Tamandua tetradactyla: one gene and its partners. The protein of the gene in region 4 purifies or fractionates together with the protein of the main gene of each other region. This does not show direct contact. Links are inferred from orthologs where the notes say so. Each region holds a gene or a part of one and is shown on either strand. Other genes may lie near its edges.

Region 1 (7,151 bases), on a different chromosome or scaffold from region 4:
GTTTAATATCCGTAATATATAAAGAGATTCTACAACTCAACAACAAAAAAACAAACAATCTAATTTAAAAACGAGCAAGAGGCAAAAATAGACAGTTATCAGAAGAAGAAATACAAATGGCTAGAAGGCATATGAAAAGGCAGGCATTAAAACCCAGGACTACCCAGGCCTGACTTCTTGTTGTATGAAAAAAATTAAATTCACTTGTTTAAGCCACTGAAGTTAGGTTGCTGAATGCAATCTCTAACAAAAGCAGATCCCATCCTAAGACAAGACCTGGGCTGCAAAGGAGACCTGGGTCTCACCTAAGCCACATCTACTTAACCAAAATGCAGACTCAGAACTACAATTTGATCAAAGAGAGCAACATTCCAACAGTAAATCTTTTTCAAGGGATGAAAGGGACAATGACAAAAGGTCTGCATGAATGCAAGACCACAAAGAACAAGTTTGTTTGCTTAGCACTGACCAGAGCAGGATGTTCGGACCAGATAACCTCAGTACCTCTCAGTGTAAAGTAATAAACTGACAACTGATTTACCAACCAGTCTCTTGTGGGGTTAGGATAGGTCCCCAGATGGTATAGTCTTAAAGCACCTGTTTTAATTGTCTCCTTTCTCCTCTAGACTGTAAGCTCTGGGCAAGCAGAAACCATGCCTATCCCAGCTCACTACCCAGAATGCAAGTCTATGCACAGTGCCTAATACAAAGTTGACACAAATAAATATTTGGTGAATAAAAGTTGATTGAATAAATAATGACAAGTCTCCTAATGACTAATTCTGAACTGATAAAACTCCAAGCAGGGGAGGAGTTTGCAAAGCTGGACTAGGGCAAATACTGTGGTATCCCATCAAGGACAAGCCATATGAGAAACCAGCTGAAGCAACTGCTCTCTCGGGTTTCTTTTGGGAAGTAGCACATCAGACTCATTCTTCATTCCCAGAGTCATGCATTCTACCTTGTCTTTGTCCATGACGACACTGGCCACAGGTCCAAATGCCTGGAAGTATTCAGAAAGCTGAGTAGAATCCACATCCCGCGAAAAGCCACTGACAAACACACTCCGAAGTCCCTGGGCTTTTCGGGCAGCTCGTAGTTCTACCAAGTGCCGGTGCTTCCGGCCTCCCAAGTGAGCATCTAGGCTGGGCCCTGCAAAGGCAAGTATGAGACAAAACATCAAATCACTCTTCAGTGTACCTGTTTCTGCTTTTGTTCTCTGCACACCTAAACCTTTACTGACCCTTCAAAGCCACAGAAAGTGTAACTTCTGAATAAAAAAAGTCCTGGTCCCCTTCTTCTTTCATCTTCCTCTCTTGTTCATTTTTCTATATGCTGCACTCTCTAAGTGGTTCTTTGGGGAAGTGGCTACACTATAAATATTTCTTAAAACATCCATAAGTGCTAGGTACAGTGGCACCTAAAAAAATGTATAGCAATTAACAGGCAATTTATCCAGGTCATATAAAGAATTAAATTAATCTGCACTATGGACTATTCCCCATGAATCATTTCTGGGTACTTAGCATGTACTGCTTTTAAGGGCAAGATCTGGAACCAAACTGCCCAAGTTCAAATCCCAGCTCTATAAAGCCATAGAGACTTCAGGCAAGTTACTGAGCCTCTTGTGCCTCAGTTTTCCCAGATATAAAATGGGGATAATAATATACCTACCCACATTGGTACTATTCATATATACAACTGGCAGAGTCAAGTACACAGTAAATGTAGAAAAAGATAGCTTCTATTATTATTTTTATTATATCTAAGTCTGCTCCTTAGTGCCACCAAGGTAGGTATGGAGCCAGGGAAGATTTAATGACTTCTGGGTTTCTGGCTTGCCCTACTGGACAAATAGTAATAGTGTCATCCACACAGAGAGGGAAGAATGGAAGAAGATTCTCTACAGGCAAGATTATGATTCTAGACTTCATCAATAGAATCTGAGGTTTCACTCAACCCCTTTGAAAGTCATGCAAGAACCCTGTCTAGATTTCCAAACTCATCTTCTTGCTTGCTGGTGCTCTACGCTCCAGTCATGCAGAATCTCACAAACATAACCATGCTATTTCACACATCCCTGCTTTCGGCAGCTCCTCTAGAAGGGTTCCCTGACTCCCAATTGCTGCTGTCTCTGTTATCCACAGCTTTCCAGACATTATCTACAGAGTATTGAAACGGTTTCCTTCTCTGGATGCTCAATTCCTTCATCTCTAAATCCCCTCCTTCACCCCAGAACCCAACAAAGTACCAGGCACAGATGACTATTAAATAAATCACTATTAAATAGAAAACAGGGTGGTGCGACGGTGGCTCAGTGGCAGAAATCTCGCCTGCCATACCGGAGACCCGGTTCGATTCCCGGTGCCTGCCCATGCGAAAAAAAAAAGAGAGAGAGAAAGAGAGAAAACAATGGAACTTTCCTCGTGGGGATTTCGGTCGGGAGGTGGCTTTTGACAACGGAGGTGAGTGACTCCAACAACCGACCTGACAGGGACAATGACCTTTAACCCTAACTTTCGCTGGGGCCAAAAGACTAAAGACCCCAGCCACATCCCCTCCCCCTCACTATCCACCCCTTACGGTTAGCTGTGGTAACTTGGCAGAGGCAGCAGCGGAAAGCCCCACGCGGCAGCGACTGGACGTCCGAACCGACCGCCGCCATTGCGCCTCTCACGTACCGACAAAAATCTACCGCTCCTGCCTCCACCGGAACTCACTCCTCCAAATCACAACGCGCTGGAAAACAACTTCCGCCGGTCTGATAGGAAGTGACGTAATCGGCACTCGCTCGGGCACGTTCCCCCCGGAAACCGAGGTCAAGGTTCCGTTTCTTGATTGTACGAAGTCGCCACCGGCTTTAGGAAAAGCCTCCCTTCTGCGATGCTTATCTTGCTTTCGGTAAGCCGATTGGTGTGTTCTGCATGATCAGGCGCTGATTGGTCCGGAGGATCGTGGCTATTGTTAACTCAGCTGCCAAGGCAGGCGCGGGCGGGAGTGGGGACTGGGTCCCCTGCGGCTGCCGGCTCTGCTGCTGCCGGATGGCGGGGCTGCGGTCGTGAGCCGCCGGTCGTGAGCCGCTACTTCAAGGGGCAGTCGCGACCCTCGCGCGGGTGCCCACATCCAGCCCCACATCCACCCCGCGAATAAAGGCGGAGGATGGGCAGCCTCCACGCTTTGGGCCCACGAAGCCTACGGCTCTCCCTGGACTCCCAATCTCGGGGCGTTTACCCTCTCCCTCCGTCCACGGACCTCCCCCCGAAAATGGGTGTGCGGCAGCCGCCTCCTAGTCTCGGGTGGGAGCTCTGTGCGCTTTCCTTCCGGACTCCGGCGATCACTCGCTGCGGCCCGGGTGGGCCAGGCTCGTCCCTGCACCGACTTGCCTTCCGTAGCAGTGACCTCCGCAGTGTATATTCAGGAGGCTGCAGAACCTCCGGCCCACAACAGGGCAGTGCGCAGGAACCAGCTGTGGTAGCAGCCGAACGAGGACAGTAGAGGGGGGATGTGCTGCTGACCCCCAGACTGGCATAGTGTTCACTTCCTCCCCTAACACCTCGGAGGTGTGAGCCAACTCCTCGTGTAGTGGATGAAGGGGACCATTCGATGGGATAAACAGCTTGTGCTGTGGTTACCAGCCCCCACCTTTGGATGGTGGAAAGAGCAGCGGACCTGAGGCAGGCATACTGCGGTCTGTAACTTTGACCAAGTCACAACTGCCACTCCCCATCTCTAAAGGAGTGCCCAAAGCACACACAGACTGACCTTGTCCTCTCTCCTAAAGTATTCTTCCTATTGGGCTTCACCCAAACCTAAAACCGCAGAGGACAGTGGGCCCTCATAGCTAGGCAGTTGCTGAGACCAGCCCTCAAGATCTTGAAGCAGCAGTGTGTGAGAACAGCCGTTACTGGGTAGTAGGATCCTGCGGTACACTCCAGAGTGGACTACATCCCCTGGCCTCTAGCAACTCCCAGAATTCCCTGAGCAGAGAGAAGAGTAAGAATTGGGAAAACAGAGAAAAGACCACGCTCACAACCCCCTCCTGTGGAAGCCACCAGCCGCCCAGAGAGCCAGTTCATCCCAACTGCTTTGAACCTGGGCCAAGATGGTCCATTAGTTCCAGCACCACTGGGAACAGGGGAGCAGTTTGTGTCCTACAAGAAGGCTGGCTGGAGTAGACAGCCTGAGTCCAGTGTGCATAATCTCATAAAGAAGTGGTTCCCAGGGCAAGCCCAATCTGTATCTCCTTTATTGTTCTTTGTCCTTTATTTTCCCACACCCCCCCTCCTGGACCTCCCTCCCTACATCTATGGCAGAGAAGAGCTGAGCCTGGAGGGACTGAAGAAAACAGCTTTTTATTTGTTACTATAAGAACCAATTACAGAATTCCAAGATTAAAAAAAACAGACAAAAGATCTTTATTTCTGAGTTGGTGTACAAAAGGCAGAAGGGGGGAGGGGAGAAGAGGAAAGGAAAGAGTGAGCATGGGCTGGGGTTGATGCCAGTTTAGGGGCCTCAAACTCCAATTAGGAAAGTCCGGACACCGGACACGAAGAGAAACCCCCAATTAGAAAAAAAATAAAAATAAGATAGACATGGCAGCGCATGCCCCCCTCCCCCAACCAGGTACTGCCACCTGATACCTGTTTACTCTTCCCCTCCCCTCCATCCCCTTTCACAAAGGGAGGCAAAATTTTTAAAAAATTAAAAAACCCTCCCCCCAAAACTGTCCAAGACAAACTGTGGGTCCTATCCCCCCAAAAGAGGCCAGGTTCCCCACAAGGGCCAGTTTCCTGCAGACTGCCCTCCATCACCAGGCTTGGAGAAGCATGGGAAGGAGACAAGCTTAGTGGTGGTGACACCAGAGGGCGTCTTTCTCTTCCAGGGACACGCCCACACTTGCTTCCTCCCTTCTTCCTTCCCTCCACACTCTCTTAGATACCAGAGAGAAGGGAGGTTTGAGTGCCCTGAGGACCCACCCTCTACCTTTCAGCCCACTTCCCTTCCCCACAGATGCTCAATCCTCCAGAACAATGGGCTCATTGGTGCTGGCAGGATGTGCAGGTGCAGGTAGAGGCACTTGGGGCCGCACTGCAATCAGCGGAGGCTTCACCTTCAGGGGCAAATTGGGTCGGCGGGCAGCTCTCCGCATTTCCAAGTGGGTCAGGGCCTTCCGCAGAGCCCTGGCCAGAAAGATGAAGACAGGAATACAGAGAGCTTAGAAAGGCTAAGACTCCCCAAGAAGAAACCCCACCCTCCAGTTCTGCCTTCCTGTTCATTCTTTTCTAACACACACACATACACACTCCCCACCCCACACCCACAGTCTTTCTGACGCTGGTCTTGCTGGGTTCTTATTTCCCATACCCACCCACTTGGCTCATCAACCTCTAAGCCCCTCTCATGGTGGGTTCCCTACCTGGTATCTTTTGTGGCCACAAACACCACAGGATTGGGGGCATCAGCTGGGTTAAGTTTCTGGCGCTTGGCTACTGGCTGTGAGCTTGAGCGAATCCCTGAGGCCAGAGGCCTTCCATTGGCAGAGAAGGGGACCCCTGCCATCTGGAAAGGGGTGTGGCAGCACAATGAGGGTGGGGGCCCTCTGAGGCTCCTACCAGAAATAAAAACCCACCCACGTTAGTCTTGGCCAGCCCCAGTCTGCCAACTCACGGTCTCATAGGCTCGTTTCACCATAATGCCTGCCAGGCCCCGGTTCTGGGTCAGCTGGTTCCTGTTGATTGGTGTCTTGGTGCCTCGAGGGGTTTTGGGTTTCAAAGGAGCCTGGGCCACTGCCAGGAAAAAATAAAGGAAAACTTAGAAAACTTTTGCCACCTTCTTTCCCCTATGCAGTTTCCTTTTCTCACCTCCACCTCTTTCCCTGTGGCAGCAATTTTCCCAGGCATTGCCAAAAGGAGTGATAGGGAGGGTCTGGAGAGGTATTACCAGTACTTCAGAGATCAGGACTGCAACCTTATCAAGTCAGTGTGGTAACACTGTATAGCTTACGGGAAACCATTATTAAGCTATAAAAGTACAGTTTGTTAAACTAAATCTTTTAGGATTCAATGGGGGAAAAAAGCAGAGGAGTACTACTTTACTCTTATAGTAAAAGGAGCCAGAGCTTGAGCCCACCCTAACTGGCAGCCCATCCTATACCCAGATCTTTGACGATAGTTGCCAGGGGCAGCCGAACCAGAGGATGAATTTTCAATGGAGTCTTGGCAGCCTTAGGAAGTCGAATGGAACCTAGAACACAAAGATTGAGGCTTCACTATTCAGCTACTTCTGAGACCAGGAGCCATGTCCAATCTCTTAATAAACCTCTAAGACTACAGTCGTTAAACATGCAGAGAAACACTGGTCTCGAGCCAGAAAAACCCCGACCCCGTCACTAGCCCCATCATCCTGCGCTTACACTCTGCCTTGATGGCATTGGCATTGATAGGGGCATAGGGTCTCCGGGCTGCCCTCCTTGGCTGTAACAGGTCCCTGCACATGCGCCTGGCAAGACGGGTCAGCTTTGTGGTTTGGAGCAGGAATGTCTGCCTGTTCTTGGCCAGCAGCTTGGCCCGATTAGCGCTGGTCGTATAGGGGGAGAGACTTTGAGCTTCAGGTCTGGACAAATGACCCCTCGAGTGTGGCTCCTGGGGGAAGGGCATAGGAAAAGGGGAGAATGAAAATCAGCACCGAGACTCCCTTCTTTCTTCCATTCTCTGCAGAGGGTGAATTTATTCTTGCCTCACCTTTTTACTGCCATCCCGAACTACTGGCTCCCTGACCACTATCAGCTCTGCCCCCTTTTCCCTGGCAAGCCATCACTGGATAAAGAAATGGGTATTCTGACCTTCTAAGTCTCATATCATCATGCTTACTCCTCTCCCCTGCCTGTCTGCCATCAATTCTTACTGTGGTGCCCCGAGCAGCCCCCTCAAGCTGGGTTGGGGTCTTCAGTCCCCCATACTTCTTCCAGTAGATCCAACAGGAAGCACAGAGGCGGCACTGCATGTTGGGTGGGCCCCAGGCATACCACTGAGCAGACTGTGTGGCTGCAGAAACATAGAGATGAGTGGGAGGTCAAGGAGGAAAGAGTTCTCAAGCCAAAGCAGGCCTCCCACCCACCCCTGGCATCCGAGTCCTTCCCTTGAACTCACTGT
Region 2 (7,208 bases), on a different chromosome or scaffold from region 4:
TTGCCAAACCACCTTTGTTCCCATTAAGCAGTTTTGTTAAAGTGGATGCTTGAAACATATAAAGCCATCCCCAATTTTCCTACTTAAGAGGAATACATACCAAACCTGACTACCCTGCATAGTTCTTTGCAAGACTAAGGTGTTGGTAAAAAGTATAAAAACCAAGCTCTTGGGCGGTGCAACACTGGCTCAGTAGCAGAATTCTTGCCCGCCATGCCAGAGACCCAGGTTCAATTCCTGGAGCCTAACTATGCCAAAAAAAAAAAAAAATAGCACTTCCTGAGAATTTCTTACTAAAACAAGTTTTAAAATGGTTGTTTCAAATCACATTACATTAATTAAAAATGGCCAATGAATTTCTCTAAACTCAATTACATCCAATAGATTTTAACATTAAGAATGTTATGTACTTCAAATGATGAATGGATGTACTGTAGACTACTATTCAGCAATAAAAAAGGAACAAAAAACTGATAACATGACTCTCAAATGTGTAAGCCAATGAAACTGGACTAAAACAGCTACATAACACATGATTCCACTGACACGACATCTGGAAAAGACAAATATTATGGGACTAAAAAACAGCGTAGTGGTTCAAAGGGGTTGAGGCTGATTTATAAAGGTGTAGTATTAGGGAATTTTTTAGGAGTGATGGAACTACTCTTTATCTCGAGTGTGGGGGTGGTTTACTACAAGATACATTTGTCTAAGTTCACAGAACTGTACACCAAGAAGAGTGAATTTTATTATACATAAATATTTTAAAGTAAATTAATTTTTTTAAATTCAGATAAAATAAAAGACAATGAACTTCCATTCTCATTCAGGTTAAAAAAAATAAAAAGAGGGCGGACAACAGTGGCTCACTGGCAGAGTTTTCGCCTGCCATGCCAGAGACCCAGGTTCGATTCCCAGTGCCCGCCCATGTAGAAAAAGTAAATAAATAAATAGAATACAGGTGGACACTCTTCTTAAAAATGCTCAAAGACATACACTATTTTTATTTTCTACAAACTACAAAGCAAATTTCATGGTGAAAACCAAGAAACTCTAAAAATTTACTTTCTGAATTCAATGTAAAAACTGTGCTAAATTACCTTTTGGTGGAGGAAATCCTTTAAACAACCAATATAATTTCCTAAGGCAAATGAAAAACTCTCAAACTACACACATTTACAAAATCCATTTTCGCTTATACCTCCCATCTCTCGGTTATATTGGCTTCACTTATTCACACATGAAAACTGTTCAAACTTCATTTAACTATTAATCTTCTATGTAAGTGGGAATTTTTTTAAGGGGATCAAAACTCCAATAATAGCAAATGTACTTTCGGCTTAATAATAGCAGATTTATTGTCTTCTTAGGTTCAAAGAAAACATCGGTACTATCAGTGATACAGGTTCAATTCAAATGTCAGAAGGGAGAAGAAAATGAAAAGGAAACAATATTAAAGTATCATTTTAGAATTCTAGAAATTCCATTTTCTGGGACCATTTTTGAAAAGATGAAATTACTTCAAATAAGTTTGCAAGACTATTTACTTACTTATTTATTAACAATTATTTTACATATGTAGTTCTAAAAGTTAAAACACCAAACTAGTATACTTCAAACTGTAGCAAACAAAACATGATTTTGATGGACGATTCATTTTACCCGGAGACGTTTTTTAAATAAAGACAACAAAACTGCAGTATTTGGATTTTAAAGAGTCAAGAGAGGAACGAATAACAAAACCAACCTAGGTATTGTTTTTCTTTTGTTTGGGATCAAAAGGAAACCATAACCGCATAAAAGTAAAGACAAAAGTACGCGACCCAAGGGCAGCACTCCCCTGAAGAGAAGAGATTAAGGTTGCAATTTTGAAAACCAAGTTTCAAATACGTGAAATCAATAAGCCTATTTTTTAAAGGCATGTGCTAAAAACTAATAGCGTCTACTCACAGAGCAACTTCCACAAGTGAGTAAAAAACGATCTCGACAGATTAGCCGTGTGCGTGTTCTTGTGAGAAGAGTACCCAAGAGCCATTCAGAACCCGAGAGTATTATGGTTAACAAAGGTTACAGGACCAGGAAAAAAGTGGACGCAAAGTAACACACGGTCCTAACACGGCTTCACAACTCCTGAAAGAAGAGAGCTATGTCCCTTCGGCTTTAAAAATCAGAACCGCAAACCATCAAGTGTGTTACGAGTAGAGGGGAAAGGACACGATCGGCCCCCGCCCCGGACCAGGCTGGGCCGGGAAGCTCCAGTGCGCCGAGCTGTAAGATTCGGTCCCTGCCCTCTCTGCTTGTCCCTGGCCCCCCTGGTATCCGCACTCCGGAGAGACCGGCGCACCCACTGCCCCAGCCTCGCCACACCCCAACCCCCAACCCCCGTGGCCATGTGACACGCGAATTTCACCGACCCAAGCCAAACACAAACACACCCCTAGCCCCGAGGGCCCACCAGGAACCGAGGCTTTACCTGGACGGAGGCTCCAGGTCCCGCCCAGTGAGACTCGGGGGGGTCCGGGACCTTTTGTTCCTTCCTCTTCCGAATGGGATGGAGGGGGCTGGGAGGGGAAGAGGGGAATGGTCGACGTGAGGCGGAACTGAAAACACGCTCCCCGCCGCCCGTCTTCCCGCCCCGCCCCCCCCACTCCCCCGGCCAGTGCCCCGCCGGCAGCCCGGCGTGCGCGGGGAGGGGTCGCAGGGCCACGGCCGCCGCCCGCCAAGGAGGGAGGAGGTGGGGACGCGCGCGTCCCGCCGCCGCCCCTCCTCCCCTCACGCGCGCTCCCGTATCCCTCTCACGGGCCATCGGGCCGGCCGAGCCCTCCCCCGCCGCGCCCGCCGCCCCACCTCCGCTTCCGCCCTCCGCCCTCGCGTCGCCGGCCGCAGCCGCGCTGCGTACCCACCTCCCGGCGGCTCGCTCGGCGCTCGCTGCTGCTGGCTGGCGAGCTGCTCCTCCGCCGCCGCGGCCGCGCGGGTAGACCCGCCTCCCACCCCGGGCCGCGAGCCCCGCCGATTCGCCGGCACAGCCCCGGGGCTGGCACCCTGCCGCCCGCTGATTGGCGCCCCCACCCGCCTGTTAGGGCGGAGGAACGCCGGCCGAGTGGAGCGCTCCGCGCGCAGAGAAGACGGAGGGAGCGGCGGAAAGAAGGAGGGAGGCCAGGCGCCGAGGGAAGAGCTAGGGGCGAGCAGGGCACGGAGAGTTGCGGGCCACTACCTCCCCACCTCCCTTCCCTTCGGCCCTCCCCGCCCTCGCGACTGGACCGGCGGCCCACGCAGCCAATGAGCGCGCGGGGTAGCCGGGGTGTGAGCCGCGCGTCGGGTGGCTTGAATCGGAAGGGAGACGTCGCTCGCTGATTGGTCCCGCCTCCCTCGTAGAGCGTGAGGCGAGGCGCGGCCGGGCGGGCTGGGGACGAGGAGGGGTTGGACGCAAGCGGTTTCGGCTGATTTCGTCTCCGGCACGCTCCCAGAAAAGACTCCAGGGAGGGGAGGGAGGAAGTAGAAGGCACGTAACCTGCCGCGCTGGGAAAATAATCCCGGCGACCACCCTTCTCTCTTCGCCTCGGCCCCGGGACCCTTTCCGCCCTTCCCCAGCTTCATGGGGTGGGCCCTGCTTGGGGGCCGCCGCCTGGTGCACTTTCCTTAGTTAAGCCGGGAGTGGACACGTGCTCATTTCTTGGGGAGGCTGGGGCCCGCCCTGAGGCTTGGACGAACACGGACAGAAGCGGGCTAGGAAGAAAACCCTAGGATTCGGCCAGCGCCTGGACACACCCACAGGCGAGGGAGTGGGCGGGGCCCCTCGTGCTGTGCGGCGGGGGCGGAGTCCGAGTGTAAATAAACCGAGAGCCTGGGATGCCGTTTGCGTTTAGCGTGAGGGGGCCAGGTGTTTTCCTTTAACCTGAATCTCAGTTTCATCCTCGGTAAAAATGATGCTACTAATGCACTCTCTGTGCAGTCTTTGTGAAATCTAAAAGATAAGTCCCCGGCACGATGCCTCAGAATTGTTGGGTTTCCTTGCCTTGCTGTTCATTTCTCCACTGTTCAGGCGCTCCTTCCGTAGTGCTTTCAACTGAGATATTCCTAGGCCAGACTTTAGCGCTTCTGCGCTACCGAAGGCTGCAAAGTTCTTAGGCTGCACACTGCCCAGGACTGACAGGATTTGTCTATTGCTTAGGGACACCCAAACCTCGGCTCACGAAAATATTGAACCTAACACAATACGTCAAGTATTTCTTAAGCGCCTCTCTCTTAATTGGGGAGCACCGCAGAACTAAAGTTGAAAAGAACCTCAGATCTCACAAAAGTGGCAGAGACAAGACTAGAACATAGTTTTCTTGGCTTCCTGTCCAGCACTCTATGTTATCATTCATGGATTTAACTGGGAACTCAAGCGGAAAAGCATCCGTAGCAATACAAATCAGTAATCAAGAAGTACCAAAGGAGCATTTCAAACACTAAGCGTTTTGAAGGTGTACTCTTTAATCCCAGAAATGAAGGCTACTCGGAAGTAGGGGCCTTCAGCTGGACCTGGAGAAATGTTTAGCCGTTACTTCTCTGAGTCTTACAGGTTTTCCAGAGTTCCTTTCAAAATCTCTTTCATTTCCACCACCTCCTCATGCGTGGAAGTACTTTTCTCATGGAAACGTAGTGACGAAGAGCCTGAAACCTGGAGTTAAATTGTCATTTTGAGTACAGCTCTGTTCAAGTCTGTAATCTTTGAGAAGAAGAACTCACTTGCAATGATATCTACTTAAATATAATTGTGTGATGAATAAATTAATAAATATGAAAGTGAGTAGCATAGTGCTTTGAAGTTAAAGTCAATAAATATTAATTTTCCTTCCCTTCTGTTGCCTGCATGTATTTATGCAAAGATGAGCCTACTCAGTAGAAATCCTTCCTCCAAAAATTTACTAACAGGGTGGTATCTTACGCTGTTAGTTTAGAGGCAGCTTGACTCAGCCCTTATTAAAAATAGCTAGTGAAAGAGACCCAGGAAGCCAACTGGTGGAGCAGTCCCACCTATGCCTTGTTTCCAGCGGCCACTGGGGAAGTTGGTCTAGGGCAAAGGGAGGCGGTTAAATGACAACTAATACTGGCCGTTCAATTTTGAAATAAGGTAGCTTGTTTTTTGGTCCTTCTTCCTATTAATGCAAGTCAACAGTTTTAATATAAAAAAGCCTTAAAAAGCTGCCTTGCCCTCTCTCTAAGCCAACTCCAGGTGAACTCATTGCCTTCCCCCCCTACATGGGACATGACACCTAGGGGTGTAAATCTCCCTGGCAACGTGGGACAGGACTCCTGGGATGAACCGGAACCCAGTATCATGAGATTGAGAAAGTCTTGTTGACCATAGGGGAAAGAAAGAAATGAGGCAAAGTAAAGTTTCAGTGGCTGAGAGATTTCAAGCAAAGTTGAGAAGTTGTCCTAGGGAGTATTCTTATACGTTATATAGAAATCCCTTTTTAGTTTATGGTGTATTGGAGTGGCTGGAGGGAAGTACTCTGAACTGTTGAGCTGTGTTCCAGTAGTCTTGATTCTTGAAATGACTGTATAATGTTAGAGCTTTTATAGTGTGACTCTCTGATTGTGAAAGCCTTGTGTATGATGCTCCTTTTATCCAGGAAATGGACAGATGAGTAAAAAGAAATTATAAAAAATAAGTAAATATAGGTGGGATAAGGGATGAAATAAATCGATAGATTGAAATGCTAGTGGTCAATGAGAGGGAAGGTAAGGGGCATGGGATGTATAAGTTTTTTCTTTTTTTATTTCTTTTTCTGGAGTGATGCAAATGCTCTAAAAATGATTATGGTGATGAATATACAACTACATGATGATATTGTGAGCCACTGATTGTATACTATGTATGGACTGTATGTGTGAAAATTTATAAAAGTTTTTTTTTTTTAAACTGATGAGTCACATGAACGGTCTCTCCCATGTTAGCAGGGTATGGATTTCCATGTCCACCTGGGTGAGTAGGGGTAGGAACAAAAGTAAACCTGGCTAGGACCCCAGAAGAATCTGTTCCAAGTATGGGGAGGAGAGAAAGGGGGAGGAGTACGTTAGTTCAATAGGTAATATGCTTGAGGTCTCAGTTAGACCATTTCTCCAAAGTGTCAGATTTTGGGTTCCAGCTCTTTCTAGAAGGCCTTCTAGGATTTGTAGGATTGAGGAAAGAGGATGAGAGACAATCTGGCTACCAATGCAGTCCCCAAGGGTTTAGATATGGTAGCATGTCAACTGTCCTCTCTGCTAGAAACATCTAAACCAAAGTGGGTCAAGACAGGAACTGAAGTAGATGGGGCAGGGATTGCCATGGCAACAATCAGCTTGGAAATTCACTAGGGTACTTCAAATCTCTTAGTAGGTCTCTATTGTATAAATTATATTGAACGAGTCTTACTTTTATATTTATAGATACCAAGCTTAACCCTTCATTGTGCATTACACTGCAAAATCAAAATCAATTCAGACTCTATTTACAGGTAGTTGAATACACTGGAAAGACGCGAGAAAAATGGTAATGGTGATTGGTTTTCAGAAAGAGCCTGAGAGTCATGAGTGGAAAACTAAAATTTCATCATTAGTTCTTCTGTAGTGTGATTTGTTTTTTAAACTGTATCTCAGTGTGGTTCATTTTCAAAAGATATAATTCATATCTATTTCCTCTATGGTAAATCTCTAAAGCCCTTCCCTGGCTTCCCCAGCCCAAACTTATATCACCTCTGAACTCTTTCTTATGGTCAGAATGGTGTACATGACTTCTCTTTGATTAATGCCTTGATCTGTTAGTTTAGTCTTGAGCAGCTATTTAATTTTTCATGGGTGTATATTTTGTCTCCCCATTTAGATTATAAATTCCTGGAGGACAAGGACAGCATCTTATTCTCATCCTTATTAAAATGCTCACTAATTGAAGAAGGTGAAATACATCATTTGTATAGCAGAAAAATGCTGTATATCCTCGGTCTGCAACATCTTCCAGCGTTCTACACAGTTTTGCCTCATCCTTACTGACCCATTTGTTCATCGTAGTGGAAATTGTTACAGTGAGCATTACTATATCTTAAGGAAAGATCCAGGTAGTTCTATTGAACTGTGTTCCAATAGCCTTGATTCTTGAAGATGATTGTATAATGATACAGCTTTTATAATGTGACTGTATTATTGTGAAAACCTTGTGTCTGATGCTCCTATATCCAGGG
Region 3 (6,855 bases), on a different chromosome or scaffold from region 4:
TTCAAGGACAGTAAGATGACTGCATCACTTCCTTCAAGGAAATTACAGTCAAAAGAATGTCTCTTCCCTAAATAAGCCTACAGCACACCAAGGAGACACACTGAAATCTGATGTCACTAGTGAAGTCAGTCATTTAAAATACTGAGACAGGGGAAGACAAAATTTTCTGATCGTCCCACTAGTTCACCAGCCATTGTTCCCCCACTGGTCTTTATGGACTGTCTCAGCTCAACTCTCGTCCTTATTAACTTACTCAAGGATTGCTTCCGTATCCACCCTACCACAGGAAAGACCATCTGTTCAGATGCACTTTTCCCACTGTTTTAAAGGCCGTTTTTTGGGTCCCTTCAGCCAACAATGAGCTTTCTGAAGACAGACCCAGAACTCTGCCTTCCCAGTGCCTAGTCCAGCAGCTGCCATGTAGCAGGCACATAATGTATACTTTATGTTATGGTAGTTCATTCACTCATTCACTCCCATGTGAACATTATCAGAAGAATACGCTATCCTAATATAGGCGGGAGGTGATATTTTCTTTTGTTCTCTCTGGATTTTGTCTAGAAGGGGCAGGGCTATGGCTTCCTTTAGGAGAAAAACTGAAGGTTACAACTCTAATAAAGCAGCACCTAGTGAGGTGGAATAAGCAAATCAGATGATTTAAGAATTTCCAAAAGCGGTACTAACTGAAAACAAATGAATGATTAGTCCTATTCACAAACCACTTTAGGGTATATGCTTTGTACAACATGAATACGAAACGAAGCATTCAACAGTTTGTAAACTAGATGGCGTATTCAGGTTAAAGCAATGGTCGTCCAACTGGGCTCCTTGGGGTGCCACCTAAGGGACAGCCAAGTTGGCAAAGCTCAGGCTCAAACCTGAGCCTTTATTTTTCTTCAATATATTGGGCTACATGCGAGATTCCACTTAAATAAAGGGTTCGAGTATTGCTATGTTTTGAGGCAGTGTAGGAGGTTAATAAATGTTGATTGAATGAGGCCTGAAAAGGCCCATCTTAGAAAATCTTTACAAACACAAAAATAAAGAGGTCCCATTGAGTAGTTTGGTCTAAAGCCTACCCCCCGTACTGCGCCCACCCAGCCCAGCCCAGTTCTCACCTTCTATGCACTTAGGCTCACTGTCCAGGGTGCGCGTCTTACAGCGCAGTCCTTCCCCAGTGCCATCGATCCAGATATACATGGCTTGGACCTTCTCGCCCTGAGGCAGCCCCAGGTAGAACTGCTTGATGCCTTTGTTCAAGTGGGAACTTGCTGAGGTGGCCATGGTGGAAGGTGTTCTGGAGAGAAAAAGAAGAACATCTGGAAACCAATCTTTGGACTCCAAACTGAACCCCCTGCAGGGATGGCTCAAGAGGGAAATTTAAATCCAAGGCAGATGCTCCCTTTGAGAAGAGTGGGGTGGGGGCAGCCCCTTCCACTGGAAATCCTACACCCAAAGGTGTATTTATTCACTCTGGTTTCAAGAGGATCAACGTTTTTATATTAGTCAAAAATCTCCTGATAGTATTAGGCTGTAAAAATCCGATCAACTTTGCAAGAGAAAAGCCCTTGGCAATAAGCCTTGAGGCCTCTCAGCATCCTTGGGGCTTGAGAGATTAAGCTCTACTCCCCTCAGCACAGGTAGGGGAATTGTTTTAAAACATTTTATGCTAAGATACTACAGAAGTTCTACTCGAGAAAATTTAGAAAACAGATACAATCAACACAAATAATATCTAGCCACAGAAAAGCTTGGCTGCTATCATGTCCAGTGAGTGTTCCTTCACCTAAGTTGCAGTTTTTATAACAACCCCTTTTTGGCGATTCCCCATCCCCCTCAACAACATGCATTTAGATTTGAGGGTTAAACAAGGGCCTTCACTAGAAAGATTTAAAAGGCTGGAGGCTTCTTAAAAGCAAGACTGCAGTTACCAATATCACCAAGATAGAAGAGCTGATCCAAGGCATATTCTAAGGGGAACACTGCCATAATTTCCACTGGTCTAATGCAAAGTCTAACTTAATTCAGAAAGTGAGAATCACAATATTCTCAGATTTCACTGGCCAACTTTAAATAATAAGGGAATTCTCGCTTCTTAAACCAACATGATCTGGGATTTGGAAAGGTCTGATGCATGCTAAAAACTGCAAGCCGCCACCACCAGACCTCGGAAAGAAGAGAACCCAAAGCCACAGAACCGGCCTGGATGGTTAGAGGAAATGTTCTCCACACTCCACCCCACCCCTGCTCCAAACCCCAGGGTGGCTGCAAAGGAACACATTGTTCTCCTCCAATGACTTGAGCAACTTTCTAAAGTACAGTGGCAAAGTTTCTGCGGGCAACCATCCATGTTTGCCCAGCTGAAAACATAACTGCTTCTCCTTCCAACAGCCTCACCCTTCCCTGTGCGTTAGAGGAGAACCTCCTCCGGCAAGTCTTATAGGAGGAAAACCAATACTTCTGCCTATTGCAGGAGATTTGGTAGGTCAAATGCCACCCTCCACGCCCCCAACCAACCCCCCCCCCCCCCCGCCCCCGAAAGACCAGAATCTCTGATCCCTTCAGCTCCAACTACAAGTGAGAACTCAGTCTTTTAGCTTTCCTCCTAACTTGATACACCTCCAACATCAAGCCATGCTTCTCTCCAGTCCGGGTGAAGTGTCTTGTTCTCTCTCCCATGAGCCGGGTAGGTTGCCAGCAGCCTGCTGTACAATAGCAACTGGTGCTGCCGCAGAGCTTAAATTTTAAATCTTTGAGCTCTTTCTGCAGCTGCCACCAGCTGGGGAGTCCTCCTCCCTGCCCCTCACTCACCCCGGCCATAGGAGGTTAACCATATCGATGGGGTGGCCCTCGTTATGAGTCCTCTTTTTTGACTTGGGTTCACGCCTCTCTTCGTTCTCGGACTCTCGCTGGTCCAAGCACCGGAGCTTTCTGGGCGTTGGGGACGGGGATGGACAGGGGGATGGGGTTGGACACGGGGAAGGGGACGGGGCAGGGCACGGAGAATGCTCTGACCGGGTGGTGCTGGGATACGCGGGCTGGTGGGTCAGGGTCTTAATCTTGACTCGCGATTTCTCTCCCGGGTTCACCGAATAGGCGACGAAACCGAAGCAGTTGCTGGGGGACCCCGAGGACCGCGATTCTGTGTCTTCCGCATCATACTTCTTCTCGGCTTTGCGGCTGGGGGGGCGTCCCCGCTTCCCGCCCCCGGCGAAGCTGGAATCCACTTTGAGTGCAGTCCTTTCCCCCCGAAGTGTTCCAAACGTCGGGCCCCCGCCCCTCCGGCCCCGGTCCTGGTCTCAGGGACTCACCGAGGGGGCCATTCCCCTCCGGGGGCAGAGGCTGGGGACGGAGGGGAGGGGGTGCGGGGCACGTCGGCGGGAGGGGCGGCGTGCGGCTGCCACCTCCGCGGGGACTCGCCTCTAGCCGCGGCCCCGGGCTCCTCATTGTTCGGTCACAAGTGGAAGGTCCAGAACTCCCCCCGGGACTCGGTGGTAGGAGCCGGTCGCGCAAACACTACACTCCTGGTTAAACGAGCTTCGTCGCTCGGGCGTCAAAAAGATAATACCACGAGGACCCCACCCCCCCAACAGCTGCCACCGCCGAGAAGAGAGGGTGGACCCCGCGCCTGCCCAGCGCCCCCGCGTGCGTTCCTGCAGCGGGAACACGGCGGCTCCACCGACAGCCCAAACCCCACCACCGCGCCCAGGGCCGGCGGCTCAACGGTCCCGCCCGCTGAAAGGTCTCCTGGGCGTCCCTCTGGGCCGCGAGCAGCGGAAGGAAGATCAGAACAACCTCCTCCCCTTCTCAAAACACCTCGAGAAAGGCGCGCCCCCAAAACGCCAACCCAGACCCTCCGGGAATCGCCGACGGCGGAGCCACGCGGGAGGCCCGGGCGTCTTTGACCTCCTGAGCCCAGGAGGTCACAGCGCACAAGTGAGGACAGGAGGTGAGAAGGAGCCAAACCCGCACGAAGGGCCCCTAGTGCCACCGAGGGGCAGGCGGCGGGGCCCGCGCGCGTCCCTTCTGTGCTGTCCGGGAACCTTACCTGTGCAGCAGGCAGGGCAGAGGGAGGGAAGGCCGCGAGAGCGAAGTGAGAGGAGGCCGGGTGTGCAGGTCACACGCTGAACCCTTCTCTCATTCTCGGCTCTTCCGGGTCCCCTCGGGCCCGGCACCCTTTATCTGCGGCCGGGAGCCGCCCCCGGCGCCCTGATTGGCTTCGAGCGGCCGGGAGCGCGGACAGATCAGCTGATGTGCGCCCGAGCCCGGTGGCCATTGGGCGACGAGGCGTGCAGGCGCCGCGGGGGTGGGGGGAGCGAGCCCGGGAAAGAAAGAAAGAGAAAGGGGCGTGGGGGAGGGGGCGGAGGGAAGGAAAAGAAGGGCTGGCTGCTGGCGTGCAGAGGGCGCGAGTTCCTGCCGAGAAAGGACCCCGCCTGTAGTCGGCTCGAGCAAAACAACCGCGGCATGACCCGGGGCGGCCCTTGCAGCCCCCTCCCCCCGAGGCAGAAGGTTCCCAGAAAACCGCCAGCCCCTGCTGCCTTCCGATTGCATTGCAAGGAGAGTCCTCCTTTACGATGTCATACCGCGGGCCCCAGAGTTGCGGTTGGAAATTCTGAGCCACTGAACAATAATTTTGGCCTTTATTGTTAGAGAGCCTTCCCGCCCCTACTTCGGGGCGCGCTCGCGTTACGCTAGAGAGGGAGCGCGGGGTGCGGGTGCCGGGAAGCCCTGGGCTTTCCTGGGCGACGGCGGGTGCAGCAGGGGCCTGGAAGAGGGCAGCAAAGAGAGGGGGCTCCTGAAGGTGAGCCGGGGTTCATAACCCTAGGACAGCCCCCCTCCCCGGTTGTCTCAGGAAATTTTGGAAAGAGAACACAATTGTTACTGCACAGTTTTAATCATCGTTCCATGGAGTGGATTTTGGCGGGCGGTGGAAACAAAGTCAGGAGACCTGTCTGATACCGTCTTTGTCAGGCAAGTCACCCAGCCACTCTGGGCCCAAGTTTGCTTATCTGCAAAATAAAACTGTTCAGAGGATGACCTTTTAGAACCACCCACCAGATTTGAAATTCTATGTGCAAGCTGATCCCAAGTGCACTGAGAGGAAACGGAGATCTTCCAATTACCCCTTCGAAGCTCAGAGTTTGTAAAAAAAAAAAAAAAAATAGCATTCTAGCATTCCTTAAACAATTTTTCTTTTCTTTTGCCTTTCAGGTGACTTATTGTTCCTTCTTTTTAATCCGTAAATTGGAATACGTACCCCCTCTCTCCTCAGCCTCTCTGTGATGGTTGAGAGAATGTATGTGTAAACTCAATGGTGAAAATGCTTGCCAAAGATGCACGATCATGGCAAACTACAAAAAATAATATTTTATGTTTGCATTCTACCAGTTACTATTACTCAGTTAATCTATTTTTATTGCCCCCAATTCACCTGGAGGTGTGAATTTATTGCTTTTCCAGAAGTGCTAACATTTGAGACAGATTTTTCTCAGGCTTTGAGTCTTGGTCTTTGAGACCGAGAATTTATGCTTTCAGTGGTTTTGGGACACGAAAGGAAGAAGTTTGTTCTTCTGGTTGTTTTTTGTACCACAAACATGGAAAAGAAACGTTGCTGGTGACCATAAACATAACCTGGGTTCTTTGGTCAACATCCCTTTCCTTTAAGAGTGCATCTGAGTACTGTAGTGCTTTTAAATGACAAATGTAGCATTCACGTCCAGCGGGGGCGTTTGGTGTGTTTCAGACTGGTGACATCCTGGATTGGGTATAGAACCTTACAAATGTAAGGGATTCCATGTTAAATTTCAGTATTGCACATTGTAGCATTATAGTGCCATTGTTAAAGACAGGGTTTAGGGTCAGACAAACGTAGGTTCAAATCAGGGCTTTATCTCTTTAACAGCTTTGTATCAGCCGAGTTACTTAACCTCCTTAAATCTCAGTTACCTTGCCTATAAAATAGAATAACAAAAATTTAATAGGGATAGTGTGAGGATTAATTGTGATAACAGATGCAAAAGTGTTTAGGATAGTACTTGGAAAACAGTAAATGTTTAGTCCACCCTAGTTACAGCAGTGACAGGCCCGGGATGATCTGATGAGACTGGATTATTTCTTTGCCTGTAGCGACCATTCAATTGATACCCAACCAAAACAACTTTCTGACTCAGTGTAATGCTTTACCTGGGAACAGAGTAAGCTGTCTTAATTCCATTTCTTTCTGTAAAGCCTTGAATTTAAATGGCCGGGGGTGGGGGTGGGGATGGGTGTGGAGTAAGAAGAGGTGATGTTCTTATTTTAAAAGATGTTAATTTCCAAATGCCAAAACTACCAGAGATATAAACCAGTGCTTTCTACTGCATCCATCACCACAGCCCCTCCCTCCATTAGGAGATGGCAGTGATAGAAAATGGACTACTAGAAGCAAATACAGCTTCTGGTTTATTTTGCTGGGCAAGTGCCTGCTTCCCTTGTTAGGTGTCATAACCTCCTTGAGCAGTTTATTCATCTTCATATCCCTTGCCGGTATCCAAAGTGAGTGTTCAATAAATGATGTTTGTTGACCTCACACAATGACAGCGGCACCATCAAGAGAACATGTGCTTTGAGCTGCTTTTCCTGGAATGGAAGTGGATTTGCTTTGATCCATTCATGTGACCAGGGGCATGCTTTGTGAGGCTTAGGAACATAATATGTGGCCACTCACTCTTTCAGGAGTGAACAAGAGGCCTTGTCCTCCTTGGTCAACCCCACACTTACTTAAACCAGCCGAACTAGGGCCCAGAGGAGTCCCAGAGAAGCTGAAGCGTAGACGAGAGAAGAAAAAGCAGAAGAAAGTCCTTTAACTAATTGCCC
Region 4 (7,001 bases):
TTAAGAGTTACCAGAGTACTACAATACACTCATCGGTGAAATGTATTCTTTTTAATGCATTTGACTATAACTTCAATCATCTGTATTTAAGTTTCAGAAATAAACTTATGGTAAACCCATCATTTTTTCCCCAATAGCCCAGTCTTTCTTTTTTTTTTTTTTTTTTTTTTTTTTTTTTTTTTTTTTTAAAGGAAAGACAGAGAGAAGGAAGGAAGGATAGAAGGAAGGAAGGAAGGAAGAAAGGGAAACATTTTTAAACATTTTCTTGTTTTATTGTATTCTGTTTCTCCGTTTTTGTTACATGGGCTGGGGCCGGGAATCGAACCGAAGTCCTCCGGCATAGCAGGCAAGCACTTTGCCCGCTGAGCCACCGCGGCCCGCCCAGCCCAGTCTTTCAAAGATGGTTATCCTACACACACACACACACACACACACACACACAAAGCCAATGTTCATTTGCATATGGCCCATTCCAGCTTTAAAACAAACAAGCTTTGACCAAATACCCAGAAAAAACTAATCTGAAACTTTTAAAAAGAGACGTTAAAAAGAGAAATCTAACTTTTTACTGAGTTCCAATATGTAAGCCCAAGTAATAACTAAATTAAATATCTCTACCAGTCCTGAACTTAAGGATATGATCAAATCTATACTTTTCCTTAAAAGACCAAATCAGAGTTTTACTCTAAAGTTCTTGCCAGGTTTCAGTTGCTAAATGGCAAGTAAAATGGCTCACATATAAACCAAACTGGTTTCTGCAACTGCCCAGCACTACATAGTTCCTGTCATTTTTTTTTTCTTTAATTCAGAGGGAAAAGTAATGTTTGATAAAAACCTACACATTCTGCTGTTACTTAAAATATCTGGGCTTCAGTTTCTTAAAATGAAACCATTGAAATAACTCAAGTTTATAGACCACCTGTATTTACCCTTTAAAATGATTTACAATAACTTTGTAAATAAAAAGCAAAAATACATTCATTTGAAAAAATGCCGCACTTAAAAGTTTAATGACCACAATACACTCAGCACTTGTATCATCCTCTAAGGTCAACACCACCAATTATTACTCAGTGTATCAAAAATATGACAAGACTAAAAAGAAACAATACTATCTAAATTTTAACTTACATATTTCTATTATAAGGAAATCCACATTTATCTTTTTTATGCGGGGGTAACTGACTAGATGAATAAAGAATTGTTAAATGTTCTTTAATATACAAAGGAATCAAGGATTGATTTCACCTTTAAAAGCACACAGGCCAAAGTCCATTTTCCCACAGTAATAAACATCTTAGGAACATTCCAACTTGAAGAACAACGATTATAAATTCATTCAAACATTATAATTTATGCTGTATTGCAACAGAAATATTTGACACCCTTAGGAATTTTTGTTATATAAAAAAAATAGTATGCAGTCTGACAAAGTAGAAAAATAGTGCCAGGATTTACATCGTATCATTTAAATTTAAATCCCAAGTTTGCCATCCACCAGTTTACTTGAAAATGGTACTAATACCACAGGTGTATTCTCAAGAGAGGAGATAAGACGGTAACTGAAACTTGATGTCTCTTTTGGAAATTAGAATATTTAATTAAATCAAGATGAAACCCCTATAGTGAAATTATTATTGTCCATTTCCTAAATGAAGATACTGAGGTGCAATGATTTAAATGAACTTTCCCCAAAGTCATTCCACAAGTTAAGTGGTGGAGCTGTAACATAACTCAGGTCTAAATCATATGCTCCTTCCACTAAAAGTCATAATAAAGTACATGAAAAAAACACTGCAAATTATATACCATTATTATAGTGACAGTAGGAAATGAAAATAAGTTTTTATTATTATAAAGAAGCACAATGAATACAGTATGTTCCTTAGCTGTTTTCAGAAAAATTATGTATTTGTATTTTTATTTTAAACACATATACACAAATCATAAAAAAAAGGCATGCTTGTTCTCATCATCGCAATAAACTAAGCATTTTATCTTTATGCCACATATTCACAAATTTATGTTATTTTGGATGCCACTTCATATGGCCAAAAGGTATTAGTCTCCACACCTTCTTCAGCATTTTAAGTGTATTTCCTTTTGGTGTTTCATAAGTTTGTAAATTGTTACGTTACTTAAGCCTTATCTACTTTTTGCAGGCCTACATTATCACTGAAACTGGAGGGGAGAGCTGCACTTCCAAAGAGTCGCAGCCGGCTTCTAACGAGCCTCCACTGAAGCAGAAGACCACGTGGTCACTTCTCATAAGCCTAAGGTTCCCTACTTCTCTTCCTCCTTTAGACTAGGGTTTCCTTCTCTTAATTGGTGCCCTGACACGTGCCACCTGTGTAGTACTAACCGCAAACATCCTGCATCCTGCATCCTGTCTTCCGGAAGAATATAAGAATCAAAATAAGAGCAAACTCAGATGCCGACAATGCCAGGAAAGGAAACGACTGGAGAAATAAAGCGGGTTAGACCGTGATAAATCGCAGGACCGGGATCTGTCAAAACACTGTTAAGACTCATGCCAAACGACTCTAACCTATCGTTCGCGAAGGCCCGAGGTGGGAGCGGCACTACGGAGGGAAGGAGGTCGAAGAGAACTACACGAGCCGCAGATACGGCTTCCACACACCTCTCACTCAGCACGCCCCGACAGACCACTAGCCCTGGCCCACATCTCCTGCCCCAACATTTCGGGAGCGGCCAAAATCCTGTTGCCCAGGGCGGCCACCGCCGAACCTGCCCGCACCTGTCACTAGCCAAAGACACCAGCCCATGGTTCCGACCCAGTTCCCCACCATCCTTGGGCAACTGAGGACACCTCAACCCCTTTTCCTCACCAGGTGTCCCCTTTCCGGAGCGAGGTTTTGAGCAGCGTCGCGATGTCAGACCGCTGGGTGTCCAGATCCGCCGCTCCGCCTTCCGCCATCTTCTTCCACTAGCGGTAGCGGAGGCGGAGGCGGCGGCGGCGGCGGTAAGCCCCAGAGCATTATGGGAATGGCGTCCTGCGGCCCCTCCCAGCCGCCAGGTCGAAACCAAAAGAGAAGGAAGGGGAGGGGGGTACGCCTCGGGAGTGTGCACTGAGTACGCGGCCGTGGTCTGCTGCCCCCCATCGTCCCCCCTTTTCCCAGCAACCTGCCTCCGCCACTACCTATGCCCATCCGGATCCCCTGGTTTTAGCTTTCCCCCGCCGGGTATCCGAGGCTCTCTCGTTTGAGCAGTGCCATACCCGGATCCATCTCAACTTCTGCCTTCTCCTGCCCTCTTTCTCGCGAAAGCCCGAAAACCCTTATTAGCGCATTCACTCACGCTAGAGGGTAGGGTGGGGTGGGACAAGGGGTGTGGGGACGGCTAATCAATCCCTGGCAGAAAATTTTATCAGCTCCTGATTTTTGTCTTTTCATCGCGAGTCCCGGAACTCGACCTCGGTGAATACTGGCCAAAACAAAGGACGACAGGACAACAACGCTTGGCCTCAAAGCCCTCCTCGGTCTCCTTCCAGGTGCTTACTCCTGCTGCAGGTGGGGACCTTTTGTGACGCCTCTCCAGGCGCACCCAGACAGCTTAGCTGCAGTGGAAAACATGTCCCAGTTCCTCAGTGAACAGGGCATAAAATACGTATTCAATAATGCCAAGCACCATATGATAATAAAACGTGCGAGTTAGCCCTGTCTCCTCAGTATCGGAAGGTAATCTTTTCTTAGCCTCATCTTTCCATGGTGTATACACCTGAAATGAAACTAGAAATAAGACCAATCAAATATTATTTGATGCCAACAGTTATGTTACAATTGGGGAAATCGAGTCTCTCAATATGAAAGGCCTTGGCCAAGGTCACAGCCAGCAAAGTGGAAAGACAAGTTTATAACCCAGGTTCTAAAACGCACGTGCTTTCCACCATATCACATCACATCACATCACATCACATCACATCACATCACACCATCACATCACAATCACAATCACAATCACAGCACAACTGGCTTTACAATGTAAACTCTACAAGGGCTGGAACTGGGTTCATCTTTTAAAAAAAAAGCCAAATTTCTGTACGTCTGGTGGCTAGTACAGCGCTGCCTAATACAAAACTTCCTTCTAGATATTTGTTTAATAAATGAATTGTTGCAAAACTGTTTCAATCTTTCAAGGATGAAGATGTCCATAGATTTGGGATTAAGATAACATAATGCTGTGAAAAGTATAAAAGATGATGAAAATCCCTATATGATCTTTCTCATTTTCCCATTTTTAACTCATTTGCTGAGAATGCAGTAAAGATGGATGTAATTATGCCAATAAGAAGTGTTAAACCTTCCCAAGTGAAAGTAGTACATATTGGCATTATGATTTGTGTCTTTCAGCATTATGATTGCTTATTTTCTGCATAGTAATACTATTGTGCACTATCATGTCATCCTTTTGAGAGTCTGAAAACAGCTTCCAGCCTTTGCTATTTCTTACATTATTTGGCTTTTTTTATGGACGGGCTAGAAAAATAACTAAAGCTGACTCGGGTTCCAGAGTCCCCAAACTTACCTGGTTTAGGCAAGCTTCTAATTTTCTAACAACCTTTATGATCTTGTTTATAGAAATCAAAATTTCAGTGACCTTAGTTTACTAATTAATGAGAATTCTGCTTCTTTTATTTATGCTTCTACTCTCAAGCATAATTATGAAAAGAAATGAGATATTGTTTGTAGATACTAAATTGATTAAGGTGCACATCCCTACTGAATAGATAAGTACCCTGAAAGGATTACATTTTCCCCCTTTTCACCCAACCTCTGAAAGAAAATAATTTTTCACAGAGAAGCAGCATGACATGGAAAGAATGTTAGCATCACATGGTCCTAAGTTCAAACCTCACTTCAGCTTCTTGCTGCAAAGTACCTAACCTTTACTGTAGTTTTAGAATTGGGGATAAAAATACCTACCTTAAAAGATTTTTATTAGGATTAAATGAAACAACACATGTTTATTGCCTGAGATATAATAACCAGTCAATAAATAGTAGCTTTGTTTACTGGTGGAAAAAGCATTAAGAATTTTGAAGGCAAACTCCTCCCTATCATTTTATAGACATAACATAACCAAAAAGTGATGCACCATTCACACTTTGCTGTCCAATTTTCCCTTCAAAGAAGATGTATTTTTGAAATATTGAAGCCTGAACTCATATAACAAAGTAAAATAATTTTGTCCTCATTTACACATGTTCAAGGCAACTGAGTTAATTGGTTATAGATGCGTAAATTCACTGTAAATTTGAATTATACATCAGATTTATGAGGTTGTATTGTACACCTAACCAGTTGCCATCAGAGACAGGAAACAAATACTAGTTATTTTATTTAACAAGCTTACAAAGTGTTAAACATGGTTCTAAACATGATACAAGTACCAATAGTGGTATGAGTAGGTCCCACTATTATCCCCATTCTATAAATGATGAATTGAGGCAAAGAACCTAAATTTGAACCCAAGCAGTCTAGCCCCAGCATCTAAAAGATTTGGTTAAGTTTCTATTTTTCTAGCTACCTTTATGATCTTGTTTATAGCAATTAAAATTTTAGTGATCTCAGTTTACTAATTTATGAAAATTCTGCCTATTTATTTATGGTTCTACTTGCAAACATAATTATGAAGAGAAATGAGATGTTTGTAAATACTGAATTGATTAAGGTCCACATCCCTACTGAATAGCTAAGTTGATAATTTATGAGAAAAATTATTTGACCTTGACTCACACAGATAACAGAATATAAATCAAAGGCTACATTTGATTATTTAGATTGTGTGGCTTTACTGATGTTTTCCTTAATCAACTTTATAAGAATGTATTATTTGCTTAAGTGTTTCTCATTGCCTTCACAGACCCTTTGTACCTTTCTTGTCCATTTAAAACTTAACCTATGCCGGAGACCTGGGTTCAATTCCTGGTGCCTGCCCATGTTAAAAAAACAACAACAACAAAAAAACTTAACCTAGCTCTTGGGGCTGGCCCTTATGAAATGTATTCCTACAAGAGAAGAGGATAAGCCTACTTAAGACTATGCCTAAAAGTCACCTCTTTTTTCTTTTTCTTTTTTTTTACATGGGCAGGCACCGGGAATCAAACCCTGGTCATTCTTGCCTGTTGAGCCACCATGGTCCGCCCAAAAGTCACCTCTTTTGTTGCTCAAATGTGGTCTCTCTCTCTAAGCTAACTCACAGGTAAACCCACTACGCTCTTCCCTACATGGGACATGACTCCTAACGTACAAATCTCCCTGGCAGCATGGGACATAACTCCTGGGGATGAGCCTGGCCCTGGTAACATGGGAATGAGAAAGTCTTCTTGACCAAAAAGAGGAAGAGAAAGGAAACAAAATAAAGGTTCCATGGCTGAGAGATTTCATATAGAGTTGAGAGGTTATTCTGGAGGTTATTTTTATGCACTATATAGATATCCCTTTTCACTTTTTGGTATATTTGAGTAGCTAGAGGGAAATACCTGAAACTGTTGAACTGTAATCTAAAAGCCTTGATTCTTGAAGATGATTGAATAACTATAGAGCTTTTAAGGTCTGTCCATGTGATTGTGAAAACCCTGTGACTGACACTCCCATTATCCATTATCCAGTGTAAGGACAGATGAGTAAGAAAAAAAAGACAAAAAAATAAACAATGGGGGGATGGGGGATGGTATATTTTTGGTGTTCTTTTTACCTTTGTTTTTATCTTCTTGAAAAAAAATTTACAGAGCACCTATTTGGAATGATGGAAATATTTTGGTAATTGATGGTGGTGATGGTAGCATAACATTGTGAACATAATTAACAGCACTGAAATATGTATCTGAATATGGCTAAAAGGGATATGTTATATATATATATATATATATATATATATATATATATATGGTCATAGGATAAATTTTTTTTTTAAATCCATGAAACTGCACTATATAAACAGTGACCCCTAAGTTAAACCATGGACTGTTTGTAGTTAAT

The links.
Region 1: the proteins of USP15 (region 4) and TUT1 purify together in Homo sapiens (affinity purification with mass spectrometry; 4 studies listed by BioGRID and IntAct, with this or other methods). This does not show direct contact. The link is inferred for Tamandua tetradactyla from reciprocal best matches to the Homo sapiens genes USP15 and TUT1.
Region 2: the proteins of USP15 (region 4) and SMAD2 purify together in Homo sapiens (affinity purification with western blotting; 4 studies listed by BioGRID). This does not show direct contact. The link is inferred for Tamandua tetradactyla from reciprocal best matches to the Homo sapiens genes USP15 and SMAD2.
Region 3: the proteins of USP15 (region 4) and GLUL purify together in Homo sapiens (affinity purification with mass spectrometry; 3 studies listed by BioGRID, with this or other methods). This does not show direct contact. The link is inferred for Tamandua tetradactyla from reciprocal best matches to the Homo sapiens genes USP15 and GLUL.

Annotation. Positions count from the first base shown.
Region 1 is NC_135335.1:11,968,555-11,975,705, reverse strand, and holds the start of TUT1 (speckle targeted PIP5K1A-regulated poly(A) polymerase), read right to left. Parts: upstream 3,023-7,151; 5' UTR 2,666-3,022; coding exon 2,584-2,665; exon of another isoform or gene 2,570-2,583; intron 1,153-2,569; coding exon 962-1,152; intron 1-961. Other genes in the region: metastasis-associated protein MTA2, read right to left, coding at 5,015-5,180, 5,417-5,559, 5,668-5,786, 6,154-6,243, 6,413-6,641, 6,904-7,043, 7,149-7,151. UniProt on the Homo sapiens protein: Poly(A) polymerase that creates the 3'-poly(A) tail of specific pre-mRNAs. Localizes to nuclear speckles together with PIP5K1A and mediates polyadenylation of a select set of mRNAs, such as HMOX1.
Region 2 is NC_135344.1:35,188,628-35,195,835, reverse strand, and holds the start of SMAD2 (mothers against decapentaplegic homolog 2), read right to left. Parts: upstream 3,004-7,208; 5' UTR 2,904-3,003; intron 2,840-2,903; exon of another isoform or gene 2,800-2,839; intron 2,659-2,799; exon of another isoform or gene 2,562-2,658; 5' UTR 2,474-2,561; intron 1-2,473. UniProt on the Homo sapiens protein: Receptor-regulated SMAD (R-SMAD) that is an intracellular signal transducer and transcriptional modulator activated by TGF-beta (transforming growth factor) and activin type 1 receptor kinases.
Region 3 is NC_135330.1:37,223,920-37,230,774, forward strand, and holds the start of GLUL (glutamine synthetase), read right to left. Parts: upstream 3,008-6,855; 5' UTR 2,835-3,007; coding exon 2,812-2,834; intron 1,298-2,811; coding exon 1,119-1,297; intron 1-1,118. UniProt on the Homo sapiens protein: Glutamine synthetase that catalyzes the ATP-dependent conversion of glutamate and ammonia to glutamine.
Region 4 is NC_135333.1:129,774,073-129,781,073, reverse strand, and holds the start of USP15 (ubiquitin carboxyl-terminal hydrolase 15), read right to left. Parts: upstream 3,009-7,001; 5' UTR 2,939-3,008; coding exon 2,850-2,938; intron 1-2,849. UniProt on the Homo sapiens protein: Hydrolase that removes conjugated ubiquitin from target proteins and regulates various pathways such as the TGF-beta receptor signaling, NF-kappa-B and RNF41/NRDP1-PRKN pathways.